2 linked regions of the Daphnia pulex genome follow. The protein of the gene in region 2 binds, or shares a complex with, the protein of the main gene of each other region. Links are inferred from orthologs where the notes say so. Each region holds a gene or a part of one and is shown on either strand. Other genes may lie near its edges.

The links. Proteins that work in one complex are often made in the same cells at the same time.
Region 1: mediator of RNA polymerase II transcription subunit 4-like (region 2) and mediator of RNA polymerase II transcription subunit 7-like share a complex: the UniProt entries of both Drosophila melanogaster proteins name them as parts of the mediator complex. The link is inferred for Daphnia pulex from reciprocal best matches to the Drosophila melanogaster genes MED4 and MED7.

What each region holds. Positions count from the first base shown.
Region 1 is NC_060019.1:10,645,233-10,650,436, reverse strand, and holds mediator of RNA polymerase II transcription subunit 7-like, read right to left. Parts: upstream 1,460-5,204; 5' UTR 1,324-1,459; coding exon 1,138-1,323; intron 1,081-1,137; coding exon 610-1,080; 3' UTR 541-609; downstream 1-540. Other genes in the region: tyrosine-protein kinase Btk29A-like, read left to right, coding at 1,824-1,985, 2,075-2,342, 2,456-2,809. UniProt on the Drosophila melanogaster protein: Component of the Mediator complex, a coactivator involved in the regulated transcription of nearly all RNA polymerase II-dependent genes.
Region 2 is NC_060026.1:12,374,350-12,381,691, forward strand, and holds mediator of RNA polymerase II transcription subunit 4-like, read right to left. Parts: upstream 4,357-7,342; 5' UTR 4,233-4,356; coding exon 4,165-4,232; intron 3,872-4,164; coding exon 3,757-3,871; intron 3,701-3,756; coding exon 3,581-3,700; intron 3,522-3,580; coding exon 3,350-3,521; intron 3,289-3,349; coding exon 2,987-3,288; 3' UTR 2,841-2,986; downstream 1-2,840. Other genes in the region: gastrula zinc finger protein XlCGF7.1-like, read left to right, coding at 37-126, 201-962; beta carbonic anhydrase 1-like, read left to right, coding at 1,561-1,653, 1,718-1,802, 1,868-2,007, 2,072-2,311, 2,370-2,455, 2,517-2,640; transcription initiation factor TFIID subunit 13-like, read left to right, coding at 5,539-5,634, 5,789-5,959, 6,182-6,358; cytochrome b5 reductase 4-like, read right to left, coding at 6,363-6,417, 6,494-6,664, 6,730-6,819, 6,896-6,950, 7,102-7,342. UniProt on the Drosophila melanogaster protein: Component of the Mediator complex, a coactivator involved in the regulated transcription of nearly all RNA polymerase II-dependent genes.

The DNA.
Region 1 (5,204 bases), on a different chromosome or scaffold from region 2:
CTGAGTATGACAGGACTTCGTTTGGGATGGATCTCATCAAAAAATTGTTCCATTAGGATATTGTTATAGACGGGAACTGGGCTGACTTTTCTTTCAGTCATTTTAAAATTTACTCTACTAACGAAAGATGATCACGTGTAAAAACTTGCTTTGGCTATAACAATTGAATGTTACCTGCAAGGCGAAATGATAAAACTAATAACTATCGATAGACCGGTTCAATATACAGTTAAATTAACAGCAATGCACTTACCAAAAGCAGAGAATTAACTTCAACGGTATTGTTGTTTCGAATCAACTTTCAAGAGGAAAAATTTGAAGGAAAAATATGTTACAGCGACTGCAGACGGACTAAAACGAATAAACAACGTTGCAATTTGATCTAGATGTTTAATTTAGGTGGATCATCAACATTTATCAACTAAAATACAAATAGAAAAATCTATTGCAATAATTATTTTAAAATAAAAATTCTTAAAAAAAAATAAATCACCGAGATTATGTTTGTCCCAAAACGATTAAAAATAAAACAGCAGACTATTTTACATCAGAAAGGCGAGTAGATCGAATGTATTTTCCACTTTGAATAAACATAAAATAACACAGAATTCACAAAGAATCAATCATTTGACACAGAACACGATCCTCCTCAGTACACCCATTCCCAGAAGTTTGGTTGCTTGCATTGCCTTCTGAAGGTTGAACCCGTTCAACATCTATAAGGAGCTTGATGTTGCCTTCAGTTGGTTCAGGAATTGTGTTGACAGCCTGCTGAACCAATTCCCAAGCTTTGTCAAAATGTCTTCTGAAACGCTCTGCAATTTCCAATCTTTGTCGTTTTTGTTGTTCTAGCATAACTCTAAGAGTTTCCCTTGCTTGATGAGGCCGAAATTCATTGACCAGATGATGCATGTGAATGAAAAGCAAAGTGAGGTCATCAATTTTTGTGGCTCTTGCTTCAGACTCTGGATTTCGTATGCAGATATCAACCAAGTCAAGGAAACTAGCAGTGATGGAGTGATTGAGCTTTTTCAGTTCTCTTCTGTGGTCATAGTTATTAGGGTACAGACGTCGTATATTCTGGAATAGTAAAACGAGTATTAAAGAAAGCTTTGATTAAGAAAAAACTTCTATCACCTGGCTTTCAAGAGGTCGGATCACAGCATCATCAGTATTATATGGATTACCAAACATGGAATAATTGTCTGTGATCGGAGGAGGTGGTCTCGGTGTTCTTCCTCTTTTAGCGTTTTCTTCATTAAAAAGACTGACATATTGCATCGGTGGCAAAGGTAATGAACTAACTTGAGCCGTTTCTGACATTTTTACTTTCCCACTGGAATGAAGCAATATAGTAATGTAAACAATATAGTTTGTTTTCAAGAATGAAGAATGTGACGTTTTCTAGTTCGTTTGCTTGGGGATTTCAGCAGACTATTTTTTGATCAATGTTCTCCTTTTTGTGGCTGTCCCGACACGCCATTCTTGAATGGAAACAAATTTGATTTAGAATGTTGTAAAAGAATTCAATTTTACATTAAATTGTCATTAAATCAATTAATCGTTGTTTATTTTTTTATTTTAAATGTATATTTCCTCGATTTTATCGCTAATTTTCGGAGGAAATTAAATCCGATAATAGTTGTCGGCAACTGCCGCTAGATCTGTCCGAGTTGCCAGTATTTAGAGAGGTTTGGAGAGCTTTTTCTTCGTCCTGCTTTCATTCTCTTCGTACCAGGGTCCAGGGAGAAAGACAATGAACGAAGTTATAACAGCTTTATCAAGTGGGGACTACTTTTTTGATTAGTGATCGTTTTGTAAGTATGTTTAAAAGCTCTGCCAAACCTCTTGCAGGTGAGGTAAAAAAGCAAGGCAATTTAGTGAAACGATCACAGAACAAGAAGAGGTTTAGTTTGATCAACTACAAGAGTCGATGGTTCGTCCTTACCACAAAGTTCCTCGCCTACTACGAGGGCGAATGCGAGGTAAGGTTTAGTTCTACTAAACACGCATGGACTGTGTTCGTGAATCCCTTCATCACTAATTCATCACAACCATCAATTCCAAACAACAGAATCGCAAAGGAAAAGAAAAGGGACGTGTCGACCTCCAAACAGTGAAAGTTGTGGAAGCTGTTGATCCAGCACCTGACACACCTGCCATCGGTCCATTGGCAAACCTTACAGGTTCCATTCCGAGTGATTTGAAGGGATCTCCTGCTTTTCAGATAGTGTACAATCCTTATGAGTGTAATGAAGGTTGTAGTGCAACAGACTTGACTCTTTGCATTTTCACTCCCACTCAGCAAGAAAGAGATATCTGGCTTTGGAATATCCGAGTTGGTGAGAACATTCTCTTTTGACGTCTCAAGTAGTTATGTGTGACAAATAGCAGTATTTATCTCACATGTTCATTTTATCTCATCTAATAATTTATTTTATTTTTCTCCTGATAGTGGTCAAAGACAGTGCTCCTCTTGTGAATGTGTATCACCCTGCCCTGTGGGGGAATAGAAGTTATCTTTGCTGTGGATCAACCCAAAGGTCCACGTCTAAGGCAATAAACGGTTGCCGTTCTGTAACTTGGGCTCCCAATACACTTCAACACATGGGCATCAATTTCAGTAACATCATCCACCATCCGTCTCCCTCACCAAGTCCTGTCGCTAAACCTGCGAATGGGGCTGAAGTCGAGGCGGCCATGGTCAAACCAACGGCGATTAAACCCACGACGGAAATTCATCCGGCAATCGTCGGGGATGTTGTTCCTGCATCCCCTTCCACTTCTCACAACGCCGTTGTTGCGTTAGGTACTATACCCGCTTATGTATCCTACTAAGTGCTAACTAATGATTTACACCCGTTCGTTGCCTGCAATACTTCTAGGAAACAGTAGTTGTACGACTTCTAAGTACATGAACAACAGTTAATGTTGAGTTATTTCGCATCAAATCCTTAGTCAAGGACTTTGGGAGGGAGGGGGATTTAAGCCAATAGAAGCACATTCTAAGAAACTGCGTCGTTGGAATAGATTCAATTTGTTTTCCTTGTAAAAAAAACTAAATGGATAAAGTTATTACATCCACTTCACTTGCGAAGCTAAATTATCGGATAGCTGAAAAGATCAACTAATTATTAGAAAACTAGAGAAGTGAGTGTTGCGTGTGGCGCTGCAGTGGTTTAGAGAAAGAAAACTTGTGTGAGATTGGTACTGGCAATATTCATGAAAATTTTCTCTATTGAAAAATGTTGGGGATTTGCGGTCGGTCGGAGAGAAGAAGACCTAGAGAATGCACACAAGCTTGTTTTTCCCCGAGATTTTTTTATTCCTTTCGGCGGTTTTTAGTTCTAGCCCTCTCCCTGTACTCAGTGGGCACTGACCGCGTCTCTCATAAATCACGTTTCTTTTTCTCTAATGACGAGAAGAGGACTGCACATCTCATCAAGTCCCGTGTGAGAGCGAAAGCAAACGACAAACTGGACTATTCCTACGCGAAAGTGTGGGAGAGATGATGAAGCCAGCACAGCACAGTCTCTCATATCTCTCAGAAAAACAGCCTACGTTTGTTTCATTCAGATACTGAAATAGTTACCTGTCAGTTCGATTAGTGTTGCGCTTGTGTTTACGAGATAAAAAATAACGTGAGAATTATTGATAAGCTTCCACCTGCTGCCTTGGTCCATTGTTCAAATCTATTTTGTTGTAGTGCAAGTTTTGCAGTCAGCTCGCCCCTACCTATTTTGTTTCTCTAGTTTCAATGCGTGTATGTAAGTTTTACGTACATGGCTGATGTTTCAGAGGTTTTAACGGGCAAATTATGCGCATTTTTGGTTGCCGCTGGCCTATTTGGTCCACAATGTCTTCGGATTCTCTCTCTTATAAGATCACCGAAAGTAAATTGACTCTAGGTATGGTTCGGCTTCACCGTGTTGTGTTGTTTTTTTCTCTCATCGGTTTTCTTCTCATGTTACTACCCTTGAGCAATCGAAAATCGCACAGGCTATTCACGTTGACTCCCACCTGAAAGTCACCTGTTGAATGACTCAACAGGTGTTCAATGCGTTAAGTTACAATCGTAAACCATCGCGGTGGGTCTTTATGTGCACTTGGGTTTGGCTTGCCTTCCGACAAATTTCTGGAATTCAATTTCTAATTTTAATCTGTTGTATTTGAATGCTTGCGAGGGCAATCATTTCTTATGCGGTTGTGTTGTATGGAAAATATTTACATTTGTGATTTATTGTTTTCTTCGGGATTTCCCTAGTCCCCTTGCAGAAAATCCAGTATGTGAGATTATACCACAACTTATCTGTTGTCCGTTAATTCCTGTTTTCTTGGTTTCAACGTTTGAAAGTAGTAGTAGCGATAGAAACTTGTCGACAGTCTTGTGTGGTTGCGTGTTTCAATTCCCTCGAGCGTATTCTAGTGCCGTGTGTGTGTAAAGTGAGTTGGATGTTGATTAGATTCAAATCGACGGGAGCTCGGCTGACCTCACCTCCTCTTTCGTCAGCCAGAAATGGTCCAGACTGGACGTTGCAAGTTTTTCCTTTTCTTTTTTGGGACTATTAGAATAACTATTAGAAAAGTAAAAACCCGTCCTTGTTTACGAGTTTCTGACACGCGTACAATTCAAAGGAGCGCGTTAAAGAGAAGGGGAGAAAGTTCCCTCCTCAATTTCTCATACCGGTATCGAGTCTGCTAGGAAAAGCCTTCCTTATATCCATTGTTCGCCTGTGGTTGAATAGAAGACGCAGCAACGATTTCTCCCACACTCGTTTCTCCCATTCTATCCTTTTTTCTCTCTCTCTCCCCTCTTTTTCTCTCTTCTATCCCATTTTTTTATTTTATTTTTAGTTGTGTTTTGTATCCATCTCCAAGCCCTTGAAACTCTTAGGTCGAAGACTACATATAGACGACAGGCCTATTTTGTATGCCAAGGACGGAAGGTTATTATACGGCTGTGTATGTGTGTGTGTGTGTCAGTACATCCGCCAAATAAGCCTTTGAAAAGAAGAAGAGGAACAAAAAGAACCCCCCTCTCCCCAGCTTCCCTTCTCCCAAGTTCGATGATAATTCAGCTCTACGATGAAAATTACCTTTCAAACCATAAGACACCCCCCATCGTCTCTTGTTCGCTATCGTTGTTCTCCATCTATGTTATTTATTTTCCTTTAAACCGCCACTCATCGTGCGCTTTATTCTTT
Region 2 (7,342 bases):
TATTGTAATCTATATGATTGACGAACACGAGAGTAGCTCTCAACTACTGATAGATTCCGTGCATCACAGAAGGCCATATTTGAATTAATGAAAGAATTTACAGTGTTATTAAAAAACGATGAAAACGTGAGTTTATAACAAGTCTTAAAATTGGAATTGATTATCAATTTTACTTATTATTTACTTTTATATAATTAAAGACGAAAAAGCAATTCAGCAAAGGCAACGTTGAATTATGTTTTACGCTAGAAAAGGACACTAAACTGGATAATCAACCTTTAGCACCGAAACTATCCAATAAAGAAAAGAACTGTTCAACCTGCGGAAAGTCATTCTCGCGCCCTCAAGATCTCAAACGTCACTTGCGGACACATAATAAGACTTCCGCTTATTTATGCGAAGAATGTGGTAAGAGTTACCGAAGTCTTGATGGACTGAGTTACCATAAGGCCTTGAATCACCGTGAGAGTAACGATTCATCAGAGTCTTTATTGAAGTGTTCAAAATGCAACAAATCCTTTACTAACCAGATCCAGTTGAACGTTCATTTGAAAAACAGTCATCATAGAGCAAAGTCAGTATATACCTGTGAAATTTGTATTCCAACAGCAACTTTCGAACGCAAAGATGTATTTAAAAATCACGTAGTATTGCACGAACGAGTCAAACCTTTCGCATGCCGAATTTGTGATAAAAATTTCTCCAGTCGCTCAAACCTACAATCCCACGCGCGAACTCATGATGCTTCAGTTGCTCTCCAGTGTCCAAATTGCTCGAAGAAATTTAGTTCAAAGAAAAAGTTGGATTCACATATTCCTGAATGTATTGCGCGGAAATCTTGTCCTTCTTGCAAATTTGTTTGTCAAAGCGAAGAAGAGATGACTGAACACACAAAGAAAGAGCATCCAGCAGATTATGCAATACATGAAGTCTTTGGTCACGCCCTCGAAGAATTGAGCTAACCGCATCTCAAATGCTCAATTTTATGTTCAATAAATTAAATTATTGAAATTCTGTCGTGAAAATACAAAAGCAAACAAAACGTCACGTAGCCTGAACATGTTTGTTTTTTTAATTCAATAATTGATAAGGATACCGCTTACGGCTATTCCGTGTTCATACATACAAATAAAGATTCAAAACAAAACAAAAAAACGGCTTTTGTATGATATGACTGCCATCTATTATCAAATTCCTAAAAATAAGAATTCAATTAACGCAATATTAAATAATGAATAAAGGTGCCGCCGCAATTTACGCAATGAAATTTCACCGAAATAATAATTTTAAAAAACGAATCGCTGTGTTGCTGGCAGTACCGCGCAACCGATCTATTTTGATTTTGGCATGAAACATCAATCCTCAGCCGACGATAAAAACGTCTGCTTGCAGTCACATGGCAACGGAGTTACTTGTCTCTCTGGTTGTATCTAGTTGTTGAACTAACGTAAACACTCATCATAACAGGACCATTGGACCATCAAGAAATACACTCTTGCACCTTATTTATCGTCGCCCCAATCCCTTCGGTCGACATTCCAACGTGGACATAAAAAAAAAATGGACAAAATATTGAAAGGTATCCTTAAATACAGAAAAACGTATCGAACTGAAATGGTGGAACAGTTTAAACAAGTTGCTGATCGACCTGAGGTAAAAAGTTTTTTTTTCATTAGTTTTTTTTCATTCAAAACATAAAATAATCGTATATTTCTAGCCAAAAGCAGTGTTTTTTACCTGTATGGACAGCAGAATGCTTCCAACTCGATTTACACAAACAGATGTTGGTGATATGTTCATAGGTATGTTAAAACACAAGTATATATACTGCTTGCTTTTTTATATTCCTGGACATTGTAAATATAAGTTAGAAATGCTGGTAATCTGGTTCCTCACTCGAAGCTGTATGGAATTGATTCAGCTACCACTGAACCAGCAGCCCTGGAGCTGGGGTGCATTGTAAATAATGTGAAGCACATGGTTGTTTGTGGACACTCAGATTGCAAGGTCAGTCAACCATAAACTTGTTAAATGATAACATAAACATAATGACACACAACTTTTGTTTCAGGCTATGAACCTATTGTATAGTTTTAAAAAAGGAATTGAAACCAACATGAGAACTCTCGAGAGATCTCCACTTAAAGCTTGGCTTCATCGCCATGGTAGTATTTCTCTAACTAAATTTGAGAGGTTAGAAGTGCATGGTTTCCAACAGCCCTTGACTTTCCCAATGGAGGGACCATTCAGACAATTTGTTGCCTACATAGACCCTGACAATAAATTTAGTCTAACAGATAAGCTCTCACAGGTAGAATTATGCCAAGTTATGTAATGTCTACAAATCTAATTGGGTTATCTTTTTTCAGCTCAACACATTGCAACAACTACAGCATATTGCCAGTTATAGCTTCATTCAAAGTGCCATAAATTCGGGGCGAGTACACCTTCACGCGTATGTATCATGTATCAAACGTTTACTCGTAAGTGTTTAATGTTGAAATTTATGATACTAGGTTATGGTTCGACATCTATACCGGAGACATCTACGTCTTTAGCCGCAAGCAAAAACGGTTTGTGGAGATAAGCGAAGAGACATCCGATTATTTGCTCGATGAAATACGCGAATACTTTGTGTGACCTTAACCGACGTGCCTCGGGTTATTATGCTGAAGAATATATGGAAATCTAGGTATTTTTATAGAGATGACGCACATCTCCTGAATTTATATGGGGAGTTCGATTCTAAAGCTATTTTGTAAATAGTGAGAAGTTAACTATAAAATAAATTGTTGCATAACTTTATAATGGAAAAGAATTTGAACAATTCGAAAAAGGAATTGCACAAATATTTATCTATTTTACGAACCTTTGAATGAGGAAGGTTTTCAAAAAGAAATGCGAAAGTAGAATAGTATACAGGATGGTTACCAACAATATTAAGCAATCGCGCAGGATACAGAGTGTAAATTGTTAGCTCACGTGTTTACTGAGAATCGGAAGATGAACTGCTACTCGAGTCCGTAGACATAACGTCGACATCTTCATTCTCTTTCTTGGGATTTTTGTGATCCATTCCACCACTCACACCCAAGTGTGAAACTGACAAACAGGGCATTTGCAGGTCATTTTGAGATAACCAACTATAAGTGCCTGCTTGAGAATTCGGAACTGAAGACCCCTGCTGCAAAGAATGATTAGGACGATGCAAAAGTTCTGGAAAACTCATGTGTCCATTGACATTCATTTCACCAAGACGGCCCAAAAATCCTAGCCGCATTTCAATATCTGAAAACCACCACAAAACAACATGAAACTACTGGACAGCAATTTAAAAAAAAATTTCTACCCGTGGGATATGGTCTGCGTAAATCTCCTTGCTGCCAATTCAAAGGAGCACAAACAGCGTTGGAAGCCGATATTCTGTGAGCAAATTTTATCAACTCTTCGGAATTTACAGGTCTGTTATTCGCCCGTGTGATTGATTGCAACTTTTGCTTAGCTTGAAAGATTGCAGTAGCCTGAAAAAGAGTAAGTTTATGAAATACTAAAACCAACAAAATAATTAAAAATAGCTTACTAATAGCTGCTCTGCCTCCTTAAGCTGCTTTTGAAGATTTCGAATCTCAACATCATGCCTTTCAACTTCTGTCTCTAAGGCAACTACTTTTTGTTGTAATACACCTTGTTCTTCAGCCAACTTAATAAAAGAAAGAATTAGCATTGAAAAAAATTATGAAAAACAAATAATTTTACCTTAAGTGTTGCCTTAAGATCAGTGTCTTTTTGAAGAACCAATTCAACAAGTTGAGAGTGTTCAGTACTCATAGGTTTCTGCTGCTTCTGGGCTATTAAGTTGTCCAAAAGTTCCCTAATAAATTAAAAAGATTAAGTTTAGTACAGTGACAATTATATTTTGGAAGATTAAAATTCAATAATCAAATTCAAAACAGTGTATGATACAAACGAGTGTGACAAAGTGTTCTGAATTTCAGGTAAACAATGGTATGATTACCTAATAAGATAAATAAATATATCATGCTAATGAACAATAGATAGATCTGAGGCTTTAACTTTCATTAAAAAAATTTTGAAGGAAGAACAATTGCACTACGTGATCAAAATAGTCGACGAACAAAGGCAGCCAAATCAAGAAAAACTTACTTTGCGATGATTTCGATATCGTCGATGCAAGTAAGCAATACTTCTCTGGTACTTTTTTGAGAAGTCATGTCTAGTTATTTTTATTCCTTTTTATAGAAATAGTTATAAAAACAGGTAAGTGAAACTTTCCAATCAAAATTAGTTTTTCTTGAATGCGGCTCGGCTACGGCTGCAACAACAACTAGAGAAGTGAGGTTGCCATATCTAGATTTAACCTGACCACGTATTTTTTTAAATTTCCTTATCCTTTATTTATGGATTCATTCGGAGTCGAATCACCGCTCTACAACGTGATTTCGTTAAAAGAAACTAAAAAATATAATAGTAATGAGATATGTTTGAAGTGTATAATAATGCAACACTGGCGACGATTTATGAATCGAATTTCGTAAACATAAACAGACAGCAGGAATCCGCTGTTCCGCTCTTGATCGTCTGACCCGCCCAAAGTTTTCCGAGCAATTTCTCAAAAACAAACTCCGGAAAGAGTGAAAAGACATTCATTTGTTTGCTTGGGTGAGTATATAGTCCAGCAATTCGACTTTAGAATCTCCAGTTATGAGGACTTTAAAACACATTTTGTGTTACAGATTCTTGGTTCAGTTCCTGTCTACAAGAATGTCGAATGACAAGTCTGTCAAAGTTAAGGTTGGAGAAGAAGAACGAGTATCGCAAAGTTTATGCGGTTGTTCGGTCGGAAAATTTTGGAAATGGAAGTACAGTGTCCATAAACAATGAGCAGAAAAAACAACTAGGTATAGAAGGAGACTATCATGCCGGGCATATCATTGCCAAAATGCTTGGAGGATCGGGATCGGACGTAAATAATCTCGTCCCCATGCACAAAAATTTCAACAACAGTGCCTACAAATCTTTCGAATTTGAAGTCCGCAAGATGATTGAGGATTCTGAAAAATTTTACCCCGGAAAACAAGTAGAAGCTCGTATCACTGTTTCCTTATTTTACAATCAAGGTTCCAATAAACCATATCGAATCAAGTATGATGTTGCCATGTACGCTAACGGCGTAGAAAAGCCGAGTTACGTTGGAGATTTCAAACTGAATGAAAATGGACGACACTAATTTAAATCGAGGAAATTTTTGCTTTGACGCTTTTTGCAGAGCTATAACTCTGGCTTTTTGTAACCAATAAACATTTTTCAATGTTGAATGCGTAATCAGGCGCCGCGCAATGTATTTTTTTTACAAGAAAGCAGATTTTAGTACGTACAAGAGTGCTTTTACAGCCATCTGGCAACCGTTTTCGTTACTAACCTACCTAGTGTCTTCTGCAGTGGTTGATTTGTTGACGTTTATTGCTCGAAAATTCTCCAACCCACTAACATTTACTCGTTTAGTAATCAAATTTCAAAATGTCTTCTCCCTCGGTGAATACTTCATTGACTTCGTCCCCACAGAAAGAAAGAGACAGCAAAGAAAGAGAAAATCCAGATGAAAACTATGATCAGGTAATTTTCTTCTTTTAAGTTACATTAAATCTTAAGTAATTTCCAGCTGAAAGTTTTGCTGGTACATATAACATATTGCTGGTGGAAATTTTTGTATTTAAATTTGTTTTAATGCTTTACTGTTCATTTAATTTCTAAATGTTTCAATTTCTAGTTTGATGATGATGAACCTGATTTGCATTATGGATCCACTTCATCAGGCAGAAAGCGCCTCTTCAGCAAGGAACTTCGTTGCATGATGTTTGGATTTGGTGATGATCAAAATCCCTATACAGAAAGTGTTGATCTGCTGGAAGACCTTGTTATTGAATACATCACTGAAACGGTAGGACTAATACCTTAAAATTTTTTTCAAACTGTGACATCTGATTTGCTATCTTTGAATTTTATTTATCAAGTTAGAATGCAAAAATGTTTATTTTTGAAATCAAATGCAAATGTTTCATCGTGTTATGGCAATTCACAAAGAGTCGGCAACCTGATTAGAATTCTATAACATGGCAAATGACTTTATTGACATTAACTATTTGCATTATTACTACTTCAGACGCACAAGGCCATGGAAACTGGACGGACAGGCCGAGTTCAAGTTGAAGACATGGTGTTTTTAGTTCGCAAGGACACGCGTAAATTTGCCCGCGTCAAAGACCTTCTAACCATGAACGAGGAGCTGAAGAAAGCTCGTAAAGCTTTCGATGAAGTCAAATATGCAGGCGTTTCCTAATTTTCTATCCCGAAAACGCGTGAACGGCCTCATTTATGTATCCTGCAGCATCCAGCAACCTTTTTTAACAATAAATAAACTTTCGTCATTTTTTTCAATCCAAAATTTCGTGTGAATTTTCAAAGAATGTATCACCTGAGTGTTTCCAAAGTAAAGTCTGACGGTCCGCAAACACACGCAAAATTGGAACCGTCGTCAGGACAATCCCTACCTAAAATAGTTGTGGCTAGTATAGAATTGTTGATTCGGCCTCGAAGACCTAACCATTCTTCATCCGGCTCAGACAATACGTGCCATACTTTAAACCTGTTGAAAAATTGATATAGATGTTTCATTAATGTGAGGTTAGAATGAAATTTCGGTTTTTCTACTTCTCAGGATATTTAAGTTCTAATTCCCGAAACTCTTCTTTCCAGATTATGTCTTCTTGAGTTCGGTTGAAGAACAGTAACATAACACGCCTAAATTAATCAAAATTGGTATTCAAATGAGCTTAGTTCATAAGAGATTAATCGACAAAAACATCAAAAGGGGTACCTATTATTGCGTAAGGTATCGATTGTTATTCTGACTAATGGCGTGATCCCCGTACCTGGAATTTTAATTTATTAAAAAAAGAATGTAATTTACTTAAGATGTTTGCTATTGGTTAATATATCACGGGAGGGCAAATATGAATAAACAGAACAATGTCAACAAAGACAAGGCAACAATGGGGGTCGTCCAACAATGCTAATACGTACCAGCGGCGATAGCTACCACATTCTTGCTCTCTAATTGCGATTCTAGGAAGTTTCCAGTTGGATCACTCACTTCAATCGAGCTGTTACCCTCAGCCAATCGATCCAATGCCGAAGTAAATGGTCCAGCAGGGTAGATTTTGATTAGAAACTGAAGCGAACTAGACGCTTCAGTTTTAGATGGGCAGTCTGTTGTCTTGCACGAAGAAAGATCAGAAACAACAGGAGTGTAGCTACGGATTAA